2 linked regions of the Oryzias latipes genome follow. The protein of the gene in region 1 interacts with the protein of each later gene in a biochemical or structural test. Links are inferred from orthologs where the notes say so. Each region holds a gene or a part of one and is shown in the gene's direction. Other genes may lie near its edges. The genes, in order: copa and cope.

Region 1 (12,647 bases):
TCATTTCCATTTGAAACACGTGCTGCATTGCTTTTATCCTAAATTCCAACCCACTGTCTAAATATATATGATGTCCGATATTTCTAGTATTTATGTAACTAAAAGGTAAATAGATTGAAATATTAAAAATGAAGAACATTGGCATCTTTTTTTAAAAGTTACAGATGATTGATGACAAAATTGATGACAGATGACAAAGTTGTGGAGATTAAAAATCATTCTTTATTTCAACAGGTGAATAAATGAAACTTTATGTCAATGTGGCATTCCAGCAGGAAGGATGTTGGATATTGATCCCAATGGAAATGGTTATGTCTGCAGAAAACCACACTGAAGCTTTGACAAAGGGGGGAAAAAAAGATAAAAGAAGTTATTTGGAATTAATTTAATAATAGGAGTTAAAAGATATGAAAGTCACAGAGATACATTCAGGACCATAAATATTTGGACAGAGATGCATTCTTTCTCATTTTGTTTCTGTACAATACCACAGTTAATTTTAAAACAAAACTCAGATGCCATTGAAGTGCAGACTTTCAGCTTTTATAAATGGGTTGAACAAAAAGATTGCATAAAAATGTGAAAAACTAAAGCATTTTTTAAACACAATCCCTTCATTTCATGGGCTCATAATTAATTGGACAAATGAAATAGCTGAAAATAAAATGGTCATTACTAATATTTGGTTGAAAACCCTTTGTTGCACAATCCCTTCATTTCATGGGCTCGTATGTAATATTGCATGGACAGGTGTGGGCAATTCCCTTGTTATGTCATTATGAGTGAAGCAGATAAAAGGCCTGGAGTTGATTAGAGGACTTGTGCTGCATTTGGAAGATTTAGCTGTGAACAGACAACATGCGGTCAAAGAAGCTCTCCATGCAGGTGAAAGGAGCCATCATTAAGCTGACAAAACAGAAAAAAACCATGCAAGAAACTGCTACAGTATTAGGAGTGGCAAAATCAACAGTGTGGTACATCCTGAGAAAGAAAGAAAGCACTGGTGAACTCAGCAACGCAAAAAGACCTGGACGTCCACGGAAGACAACAGTGGTGGATGATGGCAGAATCATTTCAATGGTGAAGAGGAACCCGTTCACAACAGCCAACCAAGTTGTTGGGTTCAAACAACCTGCAACATCAGAGTTTACAAAAGGAAAGAAAGACAAGAGACCAAGGTACCTTTTAGGAGGAGAACGAACAGAGAATAATACCCAGTTACAATCTCTCTCCACTCTGGCACATATGCCTGTCACCTCCTCTTTTATTAAGTTTGTTGGGTTGTCCCTAAGTTACACATGCGCTGACCTCTAAGGAGGAGAAACAGATAAAAACACAGCTGCAGCGATATCAGAAAACATTTATTGTAACATGTCCATCCTTTCACAGTCTTCCCACATCATCTCTGGCCCTGCAAAGTCTTTCCTCACGGATAACTGACACAGAGCGTCCTTTTATTCCGGTCTGGAAGCAGATAACATGCTGATGTTGGGAAGATGTTAGGACAATCGGTTTCCTCCCAAGAGTTTCACCTTCACCTCCCTGTGAAACAGAACTTGGACACAGACACTTCTGCAAACATGATTATATCACCTATATAGCTAGGTAATTCATTAAAGCAAATATGAGATAACTTATATACATTATTCCAACACAAGTGAACAACACTCTCCAGGAGGTAGGCGTATCAATATCCAAGTCTACCAGAAAAAGAAGACTGCATGAAAGTAGATCCAGAGGATACACTGCAAGATGCAAGCCACTCATGAGCCTCAAGAATAGGAAGTCTATACTGGACTTTGCTAAAAAGCATCTAAAAAAGCCAACACAGTTCTGGAAAAACATTCTATGGACAGATGAAACCAAAATCAACCTCTACCAGAATGATGGCAAGAGAAAAGTCTGGAGAAGGCGTGGAGACGCTCCTGATCCAAAGCACACTACATCATCAGTAAAACACGGTGGAGGCAGTGTGATGGTCTGGGCGTGCATGGCTGCTAGTAGCACTGGGACACTAGTGTTTATTGATGACGTGACACAGGACAGAAGCAGCCCAATGAATTCTGAGGTGTTCAGAGACAGACTGTCTGCACAGATCCAGGTGAATGCAGCCAAACTGATCGGACGGCGTTTCGTAATCCAGATGGACAACGACCCAAAACATACAGCCAAAGCAACTCAGGAGTTTATTAAAGCAAAGAAGTGGAATATTCTTGAATGGCCAAGTCAGTAACCTGATCTTAACCCAATTGAGCAGCATTTCACTTGTTGAAGACTAAACTTCAGACAGAAAGGCCCACAAACAAACAGGAACTGAAAGCCGCTGCAGTAAAGGCCTGGCAGAGCATTCAGAAGGAGAAAACCCAGCATCTGCTGATGTCCATGAGTTCAAGACTTCAGGCTGTCATTGCCAACAACATCAACCAAATATTAGTAATGACCATTTTATTTTCAGCTATTTCATTTGTCCAATTACTTGCGAGCCCATGAAATGAAGGGATTGTGTTTAAAAAATGCTTTATTTTTTCACATTTTTCTGCAATATTTTTGTTCAACCCATGGAATAAAAGCTGAAAGTCTGCACTTCAATGACATCTGAGTTGTTTTATTTAAAATTCACTGTGGTAATGTACAGAAACTAAATTACTGGTAAAAAGTGTCTTTGTCCAAATATTATGGTCCTGTCTGTATGCATTGATATATGTAAATATCTGCACATATAACTGTATTGATATTCCACTCCTATGGTCTCCTCTTCGAGTGACTGATTTTCTTTTTTTGTTTTTTATCTTTTTGTAATTGGTCTCTGTGTTAGATCATACAAAATCCCAATTCTAAACAGACATGAAGATAGTCCACCTGCTGCTTTGGGCTTCCATCATTGTGAGTTTAATAGGTGTGATGGGCACCTGGACAAAAACAGCAGTGCCCTTTGTCCTAAAAATGCCTTGTACTTTCAAAACCAAACAAAACCCTTGAAAATAATTAAAAGCTCAAAACAACAAGAACATTTATTATAACGGACTGTCAATGGAATATCTGCCAATGTGGGTTCATCATAGAACTTGAATGGAATGGTTTTTTTTGCCACTTGTGTGTGGCGTTTGGAGCTTGAGTCACCAAAAAAGGAACAAAGTCCATCTGCTATTCATAAGAACTGAAAATAAATAAGTTAATGATTAAATATGTACAGTACAGACCAAAAGTGTGGACACACCTTCTCATTCAAAGAGTTTTCTTTATTTTCATGACTATGAAAATTGTAGATTCACACTGATGGCATCAAAACTGAATTAACACATGTGGAATTATATACATAAAAAGTGTGAAACAACTGAACATATGTCATATTGTGGGTTCTTCATAGTAGCCACCTTTTGATTTGATTACTGCTTTGTACACTCTTGGCGTTCTCTTGATGAGCTTCTAAAGGTAGTCACCTGAAATGGTCTTCCAACAGTCTTGAAGGAGTTCCCAGAGAATAATAATAAAAATAATTATTATTATTATTGTTATAGTTGTTGTCTTTAACAACAACAACAACAACAACAACAACAACAACAACAACAACAACAACAACAACAACAACAACGACGACGACGACGACGACGACAACAACAACAACAACAACAACAATAATAATAATAATAATAATAAGGCAAGGCAAGGCAAGGCAAGTTTATTTGTATAGCACAATTCGTACACAAAGTAATTCAAGGTGCTTCACAAAACAGAAAAGTGCATTAAAATCACAATACATCATAGAAATAATCAACATAAAATTTACTTTAAAAGAAAAGGAAGAAGAAAAAAAAAAAGATTTAAAAAGAAAGGAAGGAAAGAAAAGTGCAGATAGGACCTTTCAGTCATATACACGGCTAAACAGAAATGTTTTAAGTCTAGATTTGAACATGAACACAGAAGAGGCCTGTCTTACGCCTTCAGGGAGGCTGTTCCAGATTTTAGCTGCAGAATATTGAAACGCTGATTCCCCTTGTTTAGTTCTGACTCTGGAAATCAACAGGAGGCCGGTCCCTGAGGTCCTCAGAGTACGAGATGGTTCATATGGCACTAACATGTCAGAGATGTACTTTGGTGCTCGGCCATGGAGAGACTTGTACACAAGCAGAGCTGCTTTGAAGTCTATTCTTTGAGGTACAGGGAGCCAGTGCAGAGACCTGAGCACAGGACTAATGTGATCATACTTCCTGGTTCTGGTCAGGACTCGAGCAGCAGCATTCTGGATGTACTGAAGCTGTTTTACAGCTCGTTTGGAGAGGCCGGTGAGCAGGCCGTTACAGTAGTCTAACCTACTGGAGACAAATGCATGGATAAGTATCTCCAGGTCTCGCTTTGAGATTATGTTTTTGATTTTGGCAATGTTTTTCAGGTGGTAAAATGCCGCTGATGATAATAATAATAATAATAATAATAATAATAATAATAATAATAATAATAATAATAATAATAATAATAACTAATATTATTCGTAATAATTATTCTTGCTATTATCATACAGCTTTAGGGTAAGGAGGCTTTTACACCTAGAGCTTCTGCGTGTTGTCGCCTGGTTGTTGCTGTCGTGGAGCTTTTTGCGTCAAATTTTGACTTCAAAAACTTTATTGTCCAAAACCGGAAGACAAAACGGGCGACGTGTCAGGAAAAGAGAAGGGAATAAATGGGCGAAGGCAGTCTGGCCGCCTAAGTAACCTTTGTGCAGATTCACACTTTTTTTGTTTTTTGCTTGTTTGATTTTTGTCGCAAACATTGATCTGTGTTGGATAACAACTTACTAGTGACAATGTTAACAAAGTTTGAAACGAAGTCGGCCCGTGTTAAAGGTAAGCTAACCGCAGCTAGCTACATCATGCTAAAGTTAGTCGGTTGACGTTACTTTATCATATGCTCATACTATTAATGTCATATCTGTTCACAAATGTTTATCTAAATTTAAAAGTATACTAGTTTTAAAAATATTATAATATATGTTCTGCTGTGTTGTTTAAAAATGTAATGCTAATAGTACGTTTATGTAGCTAACGAGCTAATTGCTGCGCAATTTTGACTTGACATATCTGTGATATTATAGGAAATTTTGGCAGTGGTGTTTTTTAATGCCATTAATGGTTAAATAATTTGATCCTATTCAGGTCTGAGTTTCCATCCCAAAAGACCATGGGTTCTCGCCAGTCTGCACAACGGAGTAATCCAGCTGTGGGACTACCGGATGTGCACACTGATCGACAAATTTGACGAGCACGATGGTAGGAAAATTGTATTTTTTCGAATTATAAAGTAGCCATACTTGTTAGACCCTTTTTATTCCTAACGTGCTCTTTGCTATAGGTCCTGTTAGAGGGATTGATTTCCACAAGCAGCAACCTCTTTTTGTGTCTGGTGGAGATGATTACAAAATCAAGGCAAGTGCACCGACATGGCGTGAATAAACAGCACATTCAGCACGTGACTAAGCCTGGCAAGTTGTATATTATTTTTATAATTACATATGTTAGAAAAATTATTTTGTTTCGAACAGGTGTGGAACTACAAACTGAGGCGGTGCCTCTTCACCCTCTTGGGACACTTGGACTACATCAGAACGACTTTCTTTCACCATGTGAGTTGAACCGCCACGACAGCACAAGCTGGACTTTAACGATCATCTCTGTTCCTTGATCATCATTTATTTTTTCAGTTGCCACCACATTCAAAATATTCGGTCTACTCCTGCCTTCTCTTTACTTTTTAAATATATGCAAACAGTATTGTTCTTAGTATTTATATTAATTGGTTTTGCAAATCCAGTTTTACCTGAATGCACATAGTCGCTCTTTTCTGGAGATAAATTGCAATATCTGCGCCTGATATTGGAATTGATGGCACATTCTTTTGCTTTAAACTCAATATTGCTAAGTTTACAGAGACCAAGTGGCAGAAAAACTGCAGTGGTCATGTGTTAAGAGTGTTTTTTTTTTACCAAAGATACCACCTTGTATCTTTGGTTTTGATCTTAGATTTTGAAGGTCTTAAGCAAAATTTAGTTCATTTCTAAGGCTTCATATTTCCTTTTACTTTAAAGTAACTGATTAATGTCGGCCTCATGTGTAGGAATATCCCTGGATTCTCAGTGCGTCGGATGATCAGACCATCCGCATCTGGAACTGGCAGTCAAGAACCTGTGTGTGGTACGATATGGATGCTATATTTGAATGCACATTTTTACAATAAGAGTTAAAACTTCAAATTAATTGTCTTTCCGCCTCTCTTTTTCCGGCAGTGTGCTGACGGGCCATAACCACTATGTGATGTGTGCCCAGTTCCACCCTTCTGAAGACCTGGTGGTGTCGGCCAGTCTGGACCAGACTGTGCGAGTGTGGGATATCTCTGGTGAGGGCTTGGGGACAGTGGAGCAGATTTTAAAGTGGGCTAGGTTTGGGTGTGGGGGGTTGGGAACAGAGTGGTCTAAGGATGAGCGAGAAGATGGGAACAGGACAGATCAAGTCCCGACCCTTCTCTTTCTCTCCAACTTGTAAAGGACAGATCTCTGTGGGCTGTTTGCAGAAACACCTCTTCTTCATTCAGGACAGATGTAGACCCTCAGACAAAGAAAAGCTGCAACATTTGTGAATGTAAGGCCCCACAAGGAAAGGGGTCAAACATTTACTATGTTTGTCCCAGAATTAGAAAGAAAGAGGTGTTTCTGTGCCTTTGCATGCTCTTAAAACTCTGTATTTTTCTTCCTTTCACTTTATTTTATATATTTGCTCAAAATATGTATTTTCTGATACTTGCTTTAACTTTAATGTGAAGCTGTTTAAGATAAGGCTTTGTGACTCTCTAGTCTTGGATTTTCTGTGTATTGAGCATGATTGCATTCATTTCCACTGAACTCTACCTCTCAAAAACCCCGCTGCCCCTAGCATGTGTAGCCTTCATCTCTACATCTTTGTTCTGCATGATCAGATTTTATCAAAGTAAAACATTCATACTTTTTCTCTGAAACACAATTTTTTAATAAATTTGACCTGCTTTAGAAAAAAACAAACCTATTGGTAACTACTTACCTGGTTAAGCATGGTTGGCCATACTCACTAAGCAGCATGGACATTGTCCCCCCAGTGTTTACACTTTACAGCTAACCCCCTGACAATCACATTCCAGGATCTGTTAACAATGCACGTGACTAAACCCGCCCTCAACAGTGCATGTGTCTTCAAGACCAACTAATGTTCACGTTTACCATTCAACGCCCCATCAGAGCACATCTTTACAGAGCCACCCACCCTATCCCCATCAGCCAAGTCCACACTCCACGCGCCCTCCTTGCCCCCTGGAAACATCCACACCTGCACTTGGGTTCCTAGTTTTTCCCCGTCTGTCCTCTCAGGGCTCTTGAGCGGTCTGTTCACCACATCATCTTGTTGGGTGAAATTGCGGATACAATCAGTGTTTTCTGATGGTTGTTTTGTGGGCCTGTTTGAGTCTTGGAGGTTATCACTCTGTTGTCTAGTCAAATTATGTCGTTTTCATTAAATCAATCAACTCTCTTGCAACATTGGAGATGGTCTCCAGACTCGAAAAAACCGGTTATCAGAAAGCAGAGATGGTGCTGGTTGTTTCTACCCACTGTTGGTGTCCAGACGTTCAACAGTTCAGTTTTAAGTTGGTTTGCTATCCCTCTCCATGATTTTGCTCTCGTTGTGCTTACAGAAAAGCGTTTCCTTCCCTTTTCCCTCCCTACCTTGTGCTGTGACTGTGCCTCGTTTAACATGAATATGGCTTTCCTTCCTTGCACGCTGTGCTTTGACGGTTCCAGGTCTGAGGAAGAAAAACCTGTCCCCGGGTGCAGTGGAGACAGACGTGCGCGGCATCTCTGGGGTTGACCTTTTTGGTGCCTCAGATGCTGTTGTCAAGCACGTTCTGGAGGTGAGCCGCGGCCTACATATGCAGATTTTATTAATGCTCATGCTTTGTTTCACAGTCATTTTAGAAAGAACATCTCAATTTCTCTTTTAAAAACAAGGCAAGCTTCCCTTTGACAGGTTCTCGTTTGGATGGATGTGATGTTTGTTCATTTCAAATAGGATAACTGTTATTACTCAGGGAAAGATCTACACCTCCTCTTTTAGATTGTTTTGTTTCTTCTACAGATGATGGTAATAAAGTGTGAAAACAATATTATCAAACCATCAGAGGCCTTTCTTTAGAGCTGTGATCCTATTATATCCATTAAATATATTTAAAAGGGTATTTGTTCTTAAAGTAGTAGCAAGATTGTGATAAATGTGTTATTTTAATTTCTGTTTAAGTTTTAATAGTCTGTTTCTCAAATGAACTTTAGGGGTTATTAAGATTATTGCTCTTGATGTAATACATGATAAATGGATAAAATTCTTTACTTGTATTTAAGTTTACTTAATAAGTTTCAGAGTGTAATCTTTAAAGTCCCACTCTGATGATCTATTGATTTATTTTAAAAGTGTTCCCAGTGGGTTTTAAAAAAAGATTACTTTATGCTGTTTTTTGTAAAAATATATTGAGTTGTTTTGTGGGACATAGTTTCTGCAGAGCAGCAGGAGTTTATTAGGAGTTCACCTCAGAGTTGTGGGCAGGACCATTGGTGTGGTGAAGCCTGCCCATACGTCCTGTCATCCATCGGTTACACTCTCCCACTAGCTTACAGCCCCTCACGCTCCAACTTAACATTAGCGGTGCAACAATATAATGGCGAACAATATTGTAGCTATTTGGTCGTACAGTTTAGATCCAGATTCCAGCTCAGACGAGGAAAAGAAAGACGTTCATGGATCTATTTGGATGCACCAGACTGGGGCAGAGCGGGGAGCGTCTGGGTTGCCATTGTAGCTTCTGCGTCACACCTACAAGCTTTTTCCAACTGCCTTTTTTGTGTCTACTCCTGATTCACAGCAATTTGAATGAAGAAATACTTGGAAATGTCATGTTAAGCTTCATTTTCTTCATGATTGTCCTCCATTATCACAAAAAAAACACAAAAATGTGTTAAAAACACAATTTTCACCAAAGTGGGTCTTTAAAACAATGAAGACAACAGTACTTTAGGATGAGGACAGTTACACGTCAGCTGGTTTGTTCTTTGTTGAGGAGCAGAGGGACTCATTACATTTGTGTTAATGCAGGGGCATGACCGTGGCGTCAACTGGGCAGCCTTCCATCCCACCATGCCCCTCATTGTGTCTGGAGCTGATGACAGACAGGTGAAGATCTGGAGGATGAATGGTAGGCATCTTGACAGAATCCAAGGACACATTTATATAATATAAACCATCACTTCAAATGAGGCATCAAATCATTCAAGCTGTTGAAAGATGAAACATTTTGATCACTCTTAAATTAAGAAACAGAGATGCATTCTTCCTTAACTACCTGTAAAAGAAAAGGTATTTGTTTTTGCGTAATTCTTTTTTTTAAATAATTTTCTTTTTTTGTCTTTTGTCAGAGTCCAAGGCATGGGAGCTTGATACCTGCCGTGGCCACTACAACAATGTGTCCTGTGCAGTGTTCCACCCTCGCCAAGAGCTCATCCTTTCCAACTCTGAAGACAAGAGCATCCGGGTGTGGGACATGTCCAAGAGGACCGGAGTGCAGACTTTCCGACGGGATCATGACCGCTTCTGGGTGCTGGGAGCGCATCCAAACCTCAACCTGTTTGCAGCTGGTACCATTTTTTTTTAGTCTTGTAATAATAAAGAAGGAAAGAAAAGCACAGGGTTCTGATTGCACTCTGTCCTAGATTTGAGGTGAACCTTAAAGTGTTGTGTTTTGTGGCTTTCAGGTCATGACAGCGGGATGATTGTATTCAAGCTGGAGCGGGAACGGCCTGCATACGCCGTACACGGCAACATGCTGTACTACGTGAAGGACCGCTTCCTCCGCCAGCTGGACTTCAACAGCAGCAAAGACACTGCTGTCATGCAGCTCCGCAGGTTGTTTACCCTTTCTTTTGTAACAAAAAATGTTCTTTAATTGTGTTCTTTATGTTGATCAGCTATGTTGTGGTGCTCAAAACTAAACAGAGGTAGAAGTTTGATCATTTTTGTCTTGTTTTTCTTGCCTCAGTGGTTCAAAGTTCCCGGTTTTTAGCATGTCTTACAACCCTGCTGAGAATGCAGTTCTACTCTGCACTGTGAGTACGCCCCTAAAACCACAGTGAACATGAATGCACTCACTCAGGCTGGGCTTTCCAATGTTTTTATTGATTTATTTGTGCCTTTTCCAGAGAGCAACCAACCTGGAGAACAGCACCTATGACCTCTACTCCATTCCCAAAGAAAGTGACTCCCAGAACCCTGATGGTAAATAAAGATTAATCTTCTGTGCCGTTGAAACAAACTATTTTAGTTCTGTTTGTTTTTTTTACTACCAAGTATGACACATTGTTGTTAAATTCATCCAAGTAGCAAAGTGGTTACTTGGGTAGCATTTATCTATATTTATTTACACTTTTTTTTTTTTCTTTAGCACCAGAGGGTAAAAGGTCGTCTGGACTGACAGCCGTTTGGGTGGCAAGGAATAGATTTGCTGTTTTAGATCGTCTGCACTCCGTAAGTTGTTGGTTTGCAACATTGTGACAATGTCTTGAGGAAAAAAAATACAACCTTTCTTAGTTAGTGAATATTCTTGGTACCTAAAAATGTATTCAGTTCTTTGTGGAGCAGGTTTGCTTGTGTCACGAGTCACATTTGATCTCTGGTCTAACTTTTGCGGTCATCTTTTTGTGGACACAGATCTTTTTTTAACCTTGAAGGACCTTTAGGAAGGTGAACGCCTACGCATACGTTTGCAGATGTTTAAGTGTTGAACACGTGTTGTGCTAAATTCATAGATTTAATATTGTTTTATTGCATTACACCAAACTGAACGGCTTTTTCATTGTCATGGCTTATTAGCAAAGTTAAATGAAAGATTTTTCTTGTTTTTGTCATTGTTGTTTGAACCAAATCTTCAGGAAAGTGAGTCATTGGCTCACTAACGTGAATATAGCCTCAGTGATGAAAAAGAAACATAAGATCCTGTCTTTCTGCTATTTTAGACTAATTTGTTCATTTCTCTAAATCTGTTTCCTTTCTGCAGCTTCTGATCAAGAACCTGAAGAATGAAATCGTGAAGAAAGTCCAGGTGCCGAGCTGTGAGGAGATCTTCTATGCAGGCACAGGCTCGCTGCTGCTGCGTGACGCTGAGGGCGTCACGCTGTTTGATGTGCAGCAGAAACGCTCTCTGGCCACTGTCAAAATCGCCAAGGTCAAGTACGTGGTGTGGAGCGCCGACACCAGCCATGTGGCTCTGTTGGCAAAGCATGGTGGGTGTGGACAAGAGTGGCGTCAAAAAACTCACGACTTTTCTGTTTCATCCAATCATTTGAATTGAAACTGTGATGAACTTTGAGCTCAGTTAGACGTAAACACTGGATTAGCTGAAGGGAAACATGAAGCATAAACACTAACAGTTGTTTAAATCAGAACATCTTTTTTATTTTAATGCTGTTGTGTTCAGTGCCTTGAGTTGTACAATAGAGGGATTAAGAAAAACAGACTCGAATCATAACATTATTTTTTGACTAATTATTCTCATTCAATATATCATTCTGTTAAAAATTACATCTTAATTTGATCAAAGAAGTGGAAACGTTTTCCTTTAGATTTTTAAAAAATTTCTAGACAAAAGCCCCTCAATATCCTCAGAATCTAACAACTGAGAAATGAATCTCAATGATTCTGATCTGAAGGTGAAATAATGAATTTCTTTTTCTTTTCCCTTTCAGCTATAATGATCTGCAACCGTAAGCTGGAAAGTCTCTGCAACATTCATGAGAACATCAGGGTGAAGAGCGGCGCCTGGGATGAGACTGGGGTCTTCATCTACACCACCTCCAATCACATCAAATATGCCCTCACCTCTGGGTAAGAAACACTCAGACGGTTAGTTACTGCGTGTTGAACTCAACATTTCAGAAGTTAGTCATTGATTTATGTGACTACTGGAATATCTAACATGGCAAATATAGATGTGGTTGAGAAAATTGGAGCTACTAATCAATCAGCTGATGCTGGACAGGTTTTTTCCACTGAAGCAGCTGCATCACAGTATTTTAGATGGATTATTAATTTGGATTAAATCAAACTTGTGGGTTTCTGTGAATTTAATTCAACTACCACGTTGTTTGAAGTTGTTTTCTTTTGAGAAGCTGGTACAGGAAGACAGAAATGGTTCTCAGTAAGCAGTGCAGCTAATAGCACAGTGTCTTTCCTGTAGTGATCATGGCATCATTCGGACTCTGGACTTGCCCATCTATGTGACCCGTGTGAGGGGCAACAGCGTTTACTGCCTGGACAGAGAATGCAGGCCCCGTGTTCTCACCATCGACCCCACGGAGTACCGCTTCAAGCTGGCCCTGGTCAACCGCAAATACGACGAGGTTGGTTTGCAGTAACTCTTAATGCTGTAAATGAGCCGAGACCCTCAGAAATCATCTCCTGTTATTGCCGCTCCTTCCAGGTGCTTCACATGGTTCGAAACGCCAAGCTGGTGGGCCAGTCCATCATCGCCTACCTGCAGAAAAAGGGCTACCCTGAGGTTGCCCTGCACTTTGTGAAAGATGAGAAGACTCG
Region 2 (12,647 bases), on another chromosome or scaffold:
CTCCTAGTAGAAAAAAGTTGTTCAAAACTTGGGAGAAAGACCTGGAATCCGTCATTGATGTGGGCCTAAACCAATAAGCGAGCCGAAAGGGGGGTGGCGGACCAGTCCAATCAGTTCCTGCTGTGCAGAAAAAGCCATTGACACCCAGAACATGCTTTAATGAATGTTTATACCCTCTAAACCTTGGAACATAAATGTACAGCCTTTACACGCTATAGCAAAAGTATGCAAGAGTAATAAAAACAAAAAGGGAAAAACTGGGGGAGTGAGGGGGGGGGGGGGCATATTGAGTTTAAAGTTTATAGTAAGGGGTTTTCCACTAGGTTAACCTTTTCACCATTACAAAAAGCAGTTTTTTCTGATACAATTTTAAAAAGTGCTCTGTTGTTTCAAAAGGAGCAGTTTTTGTTCTCAAACCCAAACTGTTTACAGAAGACGTCATCTGAGGAATTTATACTGTTTAGAACCTTGAAGTGAATCTCTTTTGCCTTGGATGCAAGTGGAGATTTAAAGCTTGTAGTATTTTCAACTTCTACTTTGCAGAAAAAAAAGAAAAACCGCATTCAGTAAAGATGCAAACGGATATAATTCTTTGACGTCCAGAACATCCACTACTCCCTGTTAGGGTTTCCAGTAATTATCCATGTCCACATCCCAGGGCTTGGATTTTCCCAAAGGAAGTGGAGTAAAGGAAACAATGAACGGGAACTGTGGGAAGCAGCTTCCCTATCATGGCAACAACAAAAGATTTTGGGCACTAAACTGTACGATTTGGCCTGGCACTTTAAAACATTTCAGCATTTATACGTTTATTTTTTAAATAAGTTTTAAGAAATCTGTGGCTGGCTGAGGAAAACTTCAAGAGCGGATGTTTTCAGGGCAGGGAGGTTATCCCTCATCAGCTTAATGAAGGCGCGGAAATCCCGAAGGTCATTTCCGTCTTTCAGTCTTATATTAATAGCTTATTTAGTGGATGTGCATTCCAGTTAAATAATATTTTTCCAGACTTTTCTGTCAGAAAGGGCTGGAATTGCAAGTTTAAATTGTCCTCACAAACAACAACTGCAGAGAGACGATCGTTTCATAAACTTTTAGCTACAAATAAAGTCATGTTAGCTGTTTTTTAGGTTCTCATTAAGTAGCTTGTCTTTTGTGTTAAAGACCCTCGGCAAAAAGTAGTGCAGTACACTTGAAATGTATTTTCTCAAGTATACTAGAGTACAAGTATAACAAGTCTACCATAGACCATGTGCATGTAGTGCAGGGATCATTTGAACACTTCTTCAGACTAAATTAGAATACATAGATAGGAGGCTTATACAAACAGTAAACTTCAAGTATGCTGCCTCCATGGAGTATATTTCAAATTTAAATAGACTACTTATTGTAAAAGGGAGTTAAGCCAAAACCCTGGACTACTTTTTTTGTTTTTGTTATGATTCAAAAATGAAAACTTTGATTGTCTTTAATGGGATACAAAAGAACAAGAGACACCTATGGACAAAATGTAGATCTGGAGCATCCTCTGGTGGCTTGAGATGGTAAAACATTTACCATTGTGTCTAAGAAAAAATCTAGCCACAGGGGTTGCAAGCCAGTTACTTCTGTGCCGGTCCCAAGCCCGGATAAATAGAGAGGGTTGCGTCAGGAAGGGCATCCGGCGTAAAAATTGCCAAAATAACCATGCGAATCATCCACAACACTTTAGACATACCGGATCGGTCGAGGCCCGGGTTAACAACGACCGCCACCGATGCTGTTAACCTACAGGGTGTCGGTGGAAATTTGACTACTGTTGGTGGAAGAAAGAGGGGAGGCAGAAGGGTCCGTGGCCAGAGAGAGAAGGGAAAAGGCAGGAACATAGGTTTGAGAATAGGGACTCTTAACGTTGGCACAATGACAGGGAAAGGCAGAGAGCTGGCAGACATGATGGAGAGAAGGAAGGTAGATGTACTGTGTGTGCAGGAGACAAGATGGAAGGGCAGCAAGGCACGTAGTATTGGAGGAGGATACAAACTGTTCTATCATGGTGTTGATAGGAAGAGAAACGGGGTAGGAGTGATTCTGAAGGGGGAGTTTGTAAACAGTGTTCTAGAGGTGAAAAGAGTCTCAGACAGGATGATGAGCCTAAAGTTAGAAATTGAAGGGGTGATGGTGAATGTAGTCAGTGGGTATGCGCCACAGGTTGGCTGTGAGTTAGAAGTGAAGGAGAGATTCTGGAGTGAGTTGGATGAGGTCATAGAGAGTTTCCCCAGAGGAGAGAGAGTTGTTATTGGAGCAGACTTTAATGGACATGTTGGTGAGGGCAATAGAGGTGATGAGGAGGTGATGGGCAGGTTTGGTGTGAAGGAAAGGAATCTGGAGGGACAGATGGTGGTGGACTTTGCGAAGAGGATGGAAATGGCGGTAGTCAACACTTACTTCCAGAAGAGAGAGGAACATAGAGTGACATACAGAAGTGGAGGTAGGAGTACTCAGGTGGACTACATCCTATGCAGACGAGGTCATTTGAGAGAGGTTAATGACTGCAAAGTGGTGGTAGGAGAGAGTGTAGCCAGACAGCACCGCATGGTGGTGTGTAAGATGACTCTGGAGGTCAGGAAGAAGAAGAGAGGGAAAACAGAAAAGAAGACCAAGTGGTGGAAGCTACAGAATGAAGAAACTTGTGAGGAATTTAGGCAGAAGTTGAGGCAGGTCCTGGGTGGTCAGGATGAGCTTCCAGATGACTGGGAAACTACAGCAGAAATTATCAGGGAAACAGGTAGGAAGGTGCTAGGTGTGTCATCTGGAAAGAGGAAAGACGGTAAAGACACTTGGTGGTGGAATGAGGAAGTACAGGAATTCGTCCAGAGGAAGAGGTTGGCTAAAAAGAAGTGGGATGTAGAAAGGACTGAGGAAGGTAGACAGGAGTACAAGGAAGCGCAGCATAGAGTGAAGAGAGAGGTGGCAAAGGCCAAACAGAAGGCTTATGATGAGCTATATGACAGGTTAGACACAAAGGAAGGAGAGAAGGACTTGTACAGGCTAGCCAGACAGAGAGACAGAGATGGGAAGGACGTGCAACAGATAAGGGTGATTAAGGACAGAGATGGAAAGGTGCTAACAACCCAGGAGAGTGTACAGAAAAGATGGAAGGAGTATTTTGAGGAGCTGATGAACGTGGAAAATGACAGGGAAAGAAGGGAGGAAGATGTGGTTGTTGTGGAGCAGGAAGTAGCAGAGATTGGAAAGGATGAGGTTAGGAAGGCTCTGAAAAGGATGAAGAGCGGAAAGGCCGTTGGTCCTGATGACGTACCTGTGGAGGTATGGAAGTGCTTAGGAGAGACAGCAGTGGAATTTCTAACGAGGTTGTTCAATAGGATTTTAGAGAGTGAGAAGATGCCTGAGGAATGGAGGAGAAGCGTTCTGGTTCCGATCTTTAAGAACAAGGGTGACACGCAGAACTGCAGCAACTATAGAGGAATAAAGTTGATGAGCCACACAATGAAGCTGTGGGAAAGAGTAGTGGAAGCCAGGCTTAGGAAGAAGGTGGAGATCTGTGAGCAGCAGTATGGTTTCATGCCCCGTAAGAGCACCACTGATGCCATTTTTGCTTTGAGAATGTTGATGGAAAAGTACAGAGAAGGTCAGAAGGAGCTGCATTGTGTGTTCGTAGATTTAGAGAAGGCGTATGACAGGGTGCCGAGGGAGGAGCTGTGGTACTGTATGAGGTTGTCTGGAGTGGCAGAGAAGTATGTCAGAGTAGTTCAGGACATGTATGAGAGAAGTATGACGGTGGTGAGATGTGCTGTAGGTCAGACAGAGGAGTTCAAGGTGGAGGTGGGACTACACCAAGGATCAGCTTTGAGTCCTTTTTTGTTTGCTATGCTGATGGACAGGCTGACAGACGAGGTAAGACAGGAATCTCCCTGGACAATGATGTTTGCGGATGACATTGTAATTTGCAGTGAGAGTAGAGAGCAGGTGGAGGAACAGCTAGAGAGGTGGAGGTTTGCTCTGGAAAGAAGAGGCATGAAAGTCAGTCGTAGTAAGACAGAATACATGTGTCTGAACGAGAGGGATCAAGGTAGAAGCATTAGGTTACAGGGGGCTGAGGTGAAGAAGGTGCAGGAGTTTAAGTACTTGGGGTCAACAGTTCAGTGTGATGGGGAGTGTGGAAAAGAGGTGAAGAGGCGAGTGCAGGCAGGTTGGAGCGGTTGGAGGAAAGTGTCAGGAGTGTTGTGTGACAGAAGAGTGTCAGCAAGACTCAAAGGAAAGGTGTACAAGACAGTGGTGAGACCAGCTCTGCTCTATGGGCTAGAGACGGTAGCAGTGAGACAGAGACAAGAGGCTGAGATGGAGGTAGCGGAGATGAAGATGTTGAGGTTCTCCTTAGGAGTGACCAGGTTAGACAGGATAAGTAACGAGTACATCAGAGGGACGGTTCATGTTGCCTGTGTTAGCGACAAAGTCAGAGAAGCCAGACTGAGATGGTTTGGACATGTTCAGAGGAGGGATAGTGGATATATTGGTAGAAGGATGTTGGAGATGGAGCTGCCTGGCCGGAGGGCAAGAGGACGGCCAAAGAGGAGATATATGGATGTCTTAACAGAGGACATGAAGTTGGCTAACGTTAGGGTAGAAGATGTTCATGATAGAGTGAGGTGGAAAACGATGATTCGCTGTGGCGACCCCTGATGGGAAAAGCCGAAAGAGAAAGAAGATTTATTAGCAATAGTAATGACAGGAAAATTATTGCTAATAAATATTTAATGATTTATTCACTTTTCATGACACTTATGGTAATCTAACAATCTGTATTTGAAAGAAAGACAAAATGAGTTACTATGTCAATACAAGATGCTAAGATTGATTTTCATGTAAAGTGTTTAAGGTCAAACATTAGTTTTAAGTCTGGTTTGAGACCATTTTATAATTTTATTTATTACAAATTGGACATTTATATCATTCTTTGAGTCTGGATACAGTTTAATAAGGTTTAGACTAATAGTTTTAGTCCAGATTAAACTTTAATCTGGACTCTTAGCCATATTTGCAAACCCTTTACTGATTACCATGAATGACTAATATTTCCCCAAATTAATAAATAAAAACATAACAGAAAAAAACTAAACTTTTCCTAAATGTTGACGTGTTAAACTTCACTTTTTACGTTTTTCCCACCCATAATACTGCCATTTTAATCACGCTGCTGGCTAAACTACGTTTCCCACAATGCCCCACGCAATGTACTGGAGTGACGTATATTCTCCTACGTGTCCGGAAGTCAGCGGAGAATCATGGCGTCTCAACAGAGCGATGTTGATGAACTGTTTGACGTGAAAAATGCTTATTATATCGGCAGTTTTCAGCAATGTATCAACGAGGCTCAAAAAGTGAAGGTATGACGCATATTCTAATGATTTAAACGTGTTTAATTCTAATTTATTTTCCCATAATTTGGCTTTATCCGGTACCCAATTGCTAACATTTGTTAGCGGCCATGCTAGTAAGTGTCAAAAGGACTTTATTTGTTAAACTTGCTGAACCGAATCTCACTTAGTCTGTTTATTATTTATTTGTTCGTAGCCTTCATCCCCCGAGAAGGAAGTTGAAAGAGACACATTTTTGTATAGGGCTTACATCGCTCAGGTAAGTCCTGAAGTTATAATGGAGAAGCCTACTACTGTGTCAGTGTATTTTCTATATTGCTCACTGTCACTAATATTTTCACAAAGTCTCCAATAAAGATCGTAATGTTGTTCTGCGTTGCAGAGGAAGTATGCTGTTGTCCTGGATGACATCAGAGCCAATTCCCCAGCAGAGCTTCAGGCCGTGAAGATGTTTGCAGAGTATTTATCCAGTGAAAACAAAAGGTAAAAACTCAGTATTTCACGTTTCCCTTTACATCCAAATACAGCTGGGGGGTATTCCAGAAAGCAGGTTCTGCTAGCTCCCACGGTAAGTTTGAGGCTAAGGAAGTGGATAACCTCAGCTTTTGGTTCCAGAAATGGAGGTATGTTTCAGGGTAGGTCAAGTTGCCATAGCAACTCATGCTCTGAACATAACCTGGTCTGGAGTAGGTTTAGTTGAAGGTTAGTTTGTTTTCAGAGAGGTGAAGCAGCATGGCGTGTCCATTTGAAGATGATTTAGTGGATGAAGAAGCTCAGATAATACTTTTTCCACCGTGAGAGGGTGATAAGACCACATATGGATGTTGGAAAGAGAAACTTTTTACTTTGATCTAACTTATTTGCTTCAGTTAAGATGAATCTTTTTTATTTTTTGTCAAGTCGGTTTAAAAATAACACGTAGTTTTCAGACATTTATTTTTACTTTCATTCAAATTAATTCAATTAAGTAGGTGTAACTTTGGTGCTGCTGTTAGATCGGCACTGCAAGGAATTGTGGGATACCATTCCCTTTGCCTGTCTGGATTTGGGCTTAAATGTGGGTTTTTGACCAAATGTGTTCAGTTGTTTAGCTGTTTTACTGTGTTTTGCCGAGTTATTTTGTCCTACTATGCTAAAGCCTCTGCACCATGAGTGAGAGGGAGGGAGAGGATGATGAGTGTATATAGCACCTTTACTGACAATTGATGTAATAACAATTTTGGAAAATTCCTAGATCAATTTATGTACTCTGTACTTATAGTTTCATTCATTTTATTGTTATACAAATGCTTATATCTGCCAGCGCAAACTTAAACATATGAGAGTTCAAGAATTATAATTAATTAAGATGGAAAAAATATTAATCTAATTGGAGTAATATGAGATTTAGTTAGATACATATGTAGATTTTAGTTGTATAAGCAATTATTGAGTCTTATAGACGTCGAAAATTTGGTTAAATAAATTTAATTTGATTACTTGTTACCAACAGAAGTAATTAATTGAAGTTGGCAATATTGGATAAGTTATATATATAAACTTGCCCCTATCACCCTTTCGTGGGTGGTTTCTCACTCAAGCTCGGGTCCTCTACCAGAGGCCTGGGAGCTTGAGGGTTCTGCGCAGTATCTTAGCTGTTCCTAGCACTGCGCTTTTCTGGATTGAGATGTCTGAGATCTTTCCAGGTATCTGTTGTAGCCACTCCTCCAGCTTGGGGGTTACTGCCCCGAGTGCTCCAATTACCACAGGCACCACTGTCACCTTCACTTTCCAGGCTTTCTCCAGTTCTTCTCTGAGTCCCTGGTATTTCTCCAGTTTCTCATGTTCCTTCTTCCTGATGTTCCCATCGCTTGGCACTGCCACATCCACCACAACGGCTTTCCTCTGTTCTTTATCCACCACTACAATGTCTGGTTGGTTCGCCATTACCATCCTATCAGTCTGAATCTGGAAGTCCCACAGGATTTTGGCCCTTTCATTCTCTACCACCTTCGGGGGTGTTTCCCATTTTGACCTTGGGGTTTCCAGTCCATACTTTGCACACACATTCCTGTATATTATTCCAGCCACTTGATTGTGGCGCTCCATGTATGCTTTACCTGCCAGCATCTTACACCCTGCAGTTATGTGCTGGATTGTTTCAGGCGCCTCTTTGCACAGCCTACACCTTGGGTCTTGTCTGGTGTGGTAGATCTGAGCCTCTATTGCTCTGGTGCTCAGGGCTTGTTCCTGAGCTGCAAGGATGAGTGCCTCAGTGCTGTCCTGTAGGCCAGCCCTTTCTAGCCATTGGTAGGATTTCTTGATATCAGCCACTTCCGTTATGGTCCGGTGGTACATCCCATGCAGGGGTTTGTCCTCCCATGAGGATCTGTCCTCCAGCACTGTATCCTCTGCTCTCCATTGCCTGAGACATTCACTGAGCACACTGTCATTTGGGGCCTTGAGCTTGATGTACTTATGCATCTTGGATGTTTCATCCTGGATAGTGGCTTCTACGCTCACTAGTCCTCGGCCTCCTTCCTTGCGGCTAGCATACAGTCTCAGGGTGCTGGATTTGGGATGGAACCCTCCATGCATGGTGAGGAGCTTTCGTGTCTTAACATCCGTGGTCTGTACCTCTTCCTTTGGCCATCTTATTATTCCTGCAGGGTATCTGATAACTGGCAGTGCGTAGCTGTTTATTGCCCGGGTCTTATTTTTGCCATTGAGCTGGCTTCTCAGGACTTGCCTTACCCGTTGGAGGTATTTAGCTGTTGCAGCTTTCCTTGTTGCCTGCTCCAGGTTGCCATTTGCTTGTGGAATTCCGAGGTACTTGTAACTGTCCTCAATGTCTGCTATTGTTCCTTCTGGGAGTGAGACCCCTTCTGTGTGGACTACCTTGCCTCTCTTTGTCACCATCCGACTGCATTTCTCGAGCCCGAATGACATCCCAATGTCAGTACTGTAGATCCTGGTGGTGTGGATCAGGGAGTCAATGTCACGCTCGCTCTTAGCATATAGCTTGATGTCATCCATGTAGAGGAGGTGACTGATGTTTGCCCCATTTCTGAGTCGGTATCCATAGCCAGTCTTGTTGATTATTTGGCTGAGGGGGTTCAGACCTATGCAGAACAGCAGTGGGGACAGAGCATCACCTTGGTATATCCCACATTTGATGGACACTTGTGCAAGTGGCTTATATATATATATATATATATATATATATATGCGCGTCACAAGGAAAATGGAGATAAGATCAGAAACTCGTGCGTTTACTTTGTCTGTTCTTTTTCTCCAAGCAGAAACTCTTTCTTTTGCCGATGATGCAGCCGTGTTACTTTTTTGATGGACGTATAATCTTCATACGCCGTCATTAAAATCTCAGACTCCGTCTCACTGAAGTATAGCGCTCTCTTTTTTTTCACCACGCGTTTCCATGGTGACTCTGGAAATCGGTGATCCATTGAGAATGTCTTTATGTACCTGCTGTGCACGTGCATTAACCCAGGGTTACCAAGTCGACCGTAATTACGCTAACTCATATCCGGTCTTTTGGAACCGACATACCCAGAGTAAGCAAGTTCAGGCGGATTTCAGCCAGAGTTCAGGATTAAAGTCAGGGGAGTTTAAACATGACTTCTGGAATACCCCCCCCCCCCCCCCCCCCCCTTGTTAGGTACATAACCATTCGGCCAACAACAACTTTTTTTTTCTTTTTTTTAAACTTTATTGTACAAAACGGGAGTACAGTACAAAACACAATTTTACAAAATAAACTTCAAATATGCCCGGGGAGCATACATATGATATGCATTTTACATAAAAAACATTCAAGTTTTTACAACTTTCTTACAAACATACAGCTTTCTGGTTAAGACTTTTAGAGATAGTACTGAGACACATTTCAAGTTGTTTGATTTAATCTGTGGGAAAAAAAATAGAAGTTGAAAAAAATGGAATTTATGAATATAAAATTTGCCAAATATAATAATAAGATTAATTATGAGGTTTTTTTTTACATGAGTTCAAGTTTTTACTATGAAAGCCAAAAATTATACATTTAAATTTCAGAGTGAGGTTGGGGTGAATCTGTTTTTTTGAGAAATTGTAAACACTTTTTCCAAGAAATTCCAATTTCAGTACAGTTCCAGAAAAGTACTTGTTCTTTGCAAAAAGTACAGTTAGGATCAATTGTTTTGATGTGTCTTAGCATGAATTGATCGGTGGGTAAATTTTGTTCATTATTTTAAAATAAACTTCTTTATTTATTATTTATCATAAATGTTTGGGTCCCACTTCAGCCTTTTCTCCAACTACTGTTGGGAACAAACCGTCTCCAGTAGTTTTTGGTACAGAAATGACCTCGCTTTGAGACAGGCTTTCAACAACCGTTTGGGGTCCTTCAGGTCCCGGGACTAGTGCTGACGTCACATGATGTGATTGGCTGTCCGTTTGTCCGATGACGTGTCAGATAGTGATTGATCTGGACAAATTACTATACTCCATAGAAGACGATATAATGAAGTCAGTTGTAAACAAACAGAGCTCCGACATGGAGGGAGATTATCTTCTAAACGTGCTTTTATTACTGTTATGGTTATTAATAAGTGCATTGCAGACTAATGGACTGTGGTCTGAACCCTCCTCCGGACCGAACACTATAACAAAGCACCTTCCCTGGCTGCAAACACGAGACTCCAGCGCTCAGAGTCACGGTTCTCTGGAGCAGCAGCTTCATTCTAACAGCCACAGATCTTTTCACAAAGTGGGTTGTGGCAAAATCTCTCCATAAACACTATAAAGAATAATGTCAGACATAACCTATGATGGAAAATAACTTTGGGTTACAAAAGGAAACGTGACATGAAAATATGTAGAGCCTGAGCAGATCTCCACGCTACGTAGTTTGTCCAAGTTGGCCCACCGTAGTGTGACGTCATCCTCAGTGGAAAGGACCACGAATGGTTTTTGCAGGCTGTATGGTTATGGTACCTACACCGTCATGGTTTTACAAAATTTTGTAAAAGCGTTGGAAATGTTGCCTTTTGTTGACCCCCATGTTTGGTTTTATAATCACACCATCATAATAAGCCATTGTCCTTCTTTAAAGCAATTATTAAAATCAAGGACACTGATAGAAATTGAGTTTTTGGTGTTTTAAACATGTTCTTGTAGTATTTTTCTCATGATGAAGGATGTATATAAAGGTATTAAAGAGTATAACAGCGTTTCTGAGTATTTCTTTATTGACATCATGACGGATCAGGAGCTGATGCTCCATCCTGATGCATCAGCTGGCAGATCTGAGTTCGTCTTTGTTTTCCTCGTCTGAGCCGTCGTCTGACTGTACGGCTGCATGGCGCCAATATTGCTCGCTGTTTTGGTTGCACTGCTAATGTTAGCTAGGGGCTGTAAGCCAGTGGGAGAGCGTATAGAGAAAGGGATTAGGGGATATCGGTGGAGGGTTACTTCCACGTCAACAGTCCCATCGACAACTCACTCAGAGAGGAATTTCTGACTATCACTGTGTAGAAAATGTCTTTTGGCTAAAAACTGTATAATCATATTTAAAGACCACTTGGATCAATTTTTCAATGGATACGAATATAGTTGGAGAGGGACTTAAATGGTTTAACAGCTTGTAGAGCAGTCAGCTAAAACTCTTAGTAAAGGTTTAGTGTTATTGCCTGATGTGAGTCATTTTAGACGTAGTCTCTTTTTTTGAATGGATGTTCTCAATGTCACGTCTTTGTATGCATAGAAAAAGCCCAAATAAACTGCAAGTTACTCTGAATAAACCATGACATCAATACTTTTGTTTGCTGTGCTTTTTATTAGTAGTGTTTTCTCACTCATCAGGACAATGTTTGAACAGAATGCGGTTTATGACCTTTTGGCATATTTTCGGTCTACGTTGATGCTTCTCAGCTTCAGTCATTACAGATTTTATTTGGAGTTTCTTCCTCTTTTCTTTGTTAGGGATGCTATTGTTGTGGATTTGGACAAGCAGATGGCAAAGAGTGTGGATGCTGCTAACACCACCTTCCTTCTGATGGCTGCTTCCATCTATTACCACGAGCAGAACACTGATGCTGCTCTCAGAACTCTGCACCAAGGAGAAAGTCTGGAGTGGTAACCATCCATGTTTGATGTGACACTTCACCAGTCCTGGTGACCTTACAGTTATAGTACTGACCTTATAGTTTCATTTCCCTGTATTTTATCCTGACGACTGCTAAATCAATAATTATGTATTTATGTACAACAACCTAAACCCCTCTTCCTTCTTCATTTATTTGAAATGCATTGTCATCATTGAAACCAATGTAAACCTTGTTTTTCCTGCAGCATGGCGATGAGCATTCAGGTGCTCCTGGGTCTGGATCGAGTAGACTTGGCGAGGTCTGGAGTTCTTTTCTGTTCGTAAACAGATGTAGTCCTGCTGTATAGCTCTGCTTTTAACATTGCAGATGATTGTGGCTCTGATATCTGTGACATTATTTGACAGGAAAGAGCTGAAGAAGATGCAGGAACAGGACGAGGATGCTACTTTAACCCAGCTAGCCACAGCCTGGGTCAACATTGCTGTGGTGAGGATAATGCCTGTTTAAAGGCTTTTCTCTGGGAATACCACTAAAATACAGCAGTGTTTCTGTGTAGCATTTTTGGACTTGTGTGGGCAGACATGCTTGTTTAACGTGTGCGGTTTTCATTTTAGTTCCCTGGAAACGCAAAACCAGGAGGGTAGGAATGAGCTAAAAGTTTGTCTTTTTTTTGACGGTTGTTGAACAGAACAGCCAGGAGTGGGACACAGCAGCAAGACTCACCCTATTAAAAATAGTTCTAAAAAACAATATTCATTATCAGAGGTTTGCTGAAAAACAAATGAACAAATTCACAATGAAAGATTTTTGATTCTATGATCACTGAGTTTGTCTTCAATAAACTGTAATGTGGGAGTTTTTTAATACTCTTTAGCTCAGTCAGATAAATATTTCTGGGTCCATCTCTGCACTTCTTCAAAAAGTTAAAAGTGTTAAAAGACAACTTTGTTAAAGCAAAATGTTAAAGGAATTAAAGAGTAAACTAATATGCTAATAAAACTACAAAGATAAGCAAAGTATTGAATCAGTATAATTGATTTAGGTTCACTTTGTGGAACATCTTATAAAAATAGGCCGTTTATTTCCTTTAAAGAAAAACAAGTTATTTTTCCTGCTTTGTTTACTAAGAAAAAAAGGTTGGAAGAAAGCAAAGCATGCATGGAATTTGTCTGAACCGGACGTTTTTTTGCAT

The links.
Region 2: the proteins of copa (region 1) and cope form a complex in vitro, tested with the Homo sapiens proteins (3 studies listed by BioGRID, with this or other methods). The link is inferred for Oryzias latipes from reciprocal best matches to the Homo sapiens genes COPA and COPE.

What each region holds. Positions count from the first base shown.
Region 1 is NC_019875.2:3,229,962-3,242,608, reverse strand, and holds the start of copa (coatomer subunit alpha), read left to right. Parts: upstream 1-4,634; 5' UTR 4,635-4,801; coding exon 4,802-4,841; intron 4,842-5,150; coding exon 5,151-5,264; intron 5,265-5,346; coding exon 5,347-5,420; intron 5,421-5,536; coding exon 5,537-5,617; intron 5,618-6,108; coding exon 6,109-6,185; intron 6,186-6,277; coding exon 6,278-6,387; intron 6,388-7,816; coding exon 7,817-7,926; intron 7,927-9,158; coding exon 9,159-9,258; intron 9,259-9,478; coding exon 9,479-9,697; intron 9,698-9,814; coding exon 9,815-9,965; intron 9,966-10,098; coding exon 10,099-10,165; intron 10,166-10,258; coding exon 10,259-10,334; intron 10,335-10,500; coding exon 10,501-10,583; intron 10,584-11,112; coding exon 11,113-11,338; intron 11,339-11,800; coding exon 11,801-11,939; intron 11,940-12,291; coding exon 12,292-12,454; intron 12,455-12,534; coding exon 12,535-12,647. UniProt on the Homo sapiens protein: The coatomer is a cytosolic protein complex that binds to dilysine motifs and reversibly associates with Golgi non-clathrin-coated vesicles, which further mediate biosynthetic protein transport from the ER, via the Golgi up to the trans Golgi network.
Region 2 is NC_019862.2:32,496,155-32,508,801, forward strand, and holds the start of cope (coatomer subunit epsilon), read left to right. Parts: upstream 1-5,239; 5' UTR 5,240-5,279; coding exon 5,280-5,381; exon of another isoform or gene 5,382-5,482; coding exon of another isoform or gene 5,483-5,488; intron 5,489-5,568; coding exon 5,569-5,631; intron 5,632-5,754; coding exon 5,755-5,855; intron 5,856-11,330; coding exon 11,331-11,483; intron 11,484-11,699; coding exon 11,700-11,753; intron 11,754-11,859; coding exon 11,860-11,941; intron 11,942-12,647. UniProt on the Homo sapiens protein: The coatomer is a cytosolic protein complex that binds to dilysine motifs and reversibly associates with Golgi non-clathrin-coated vesicles, which further mediate biosynthetic protein transport from the ER, via the Golgi up to the trans Golgi network.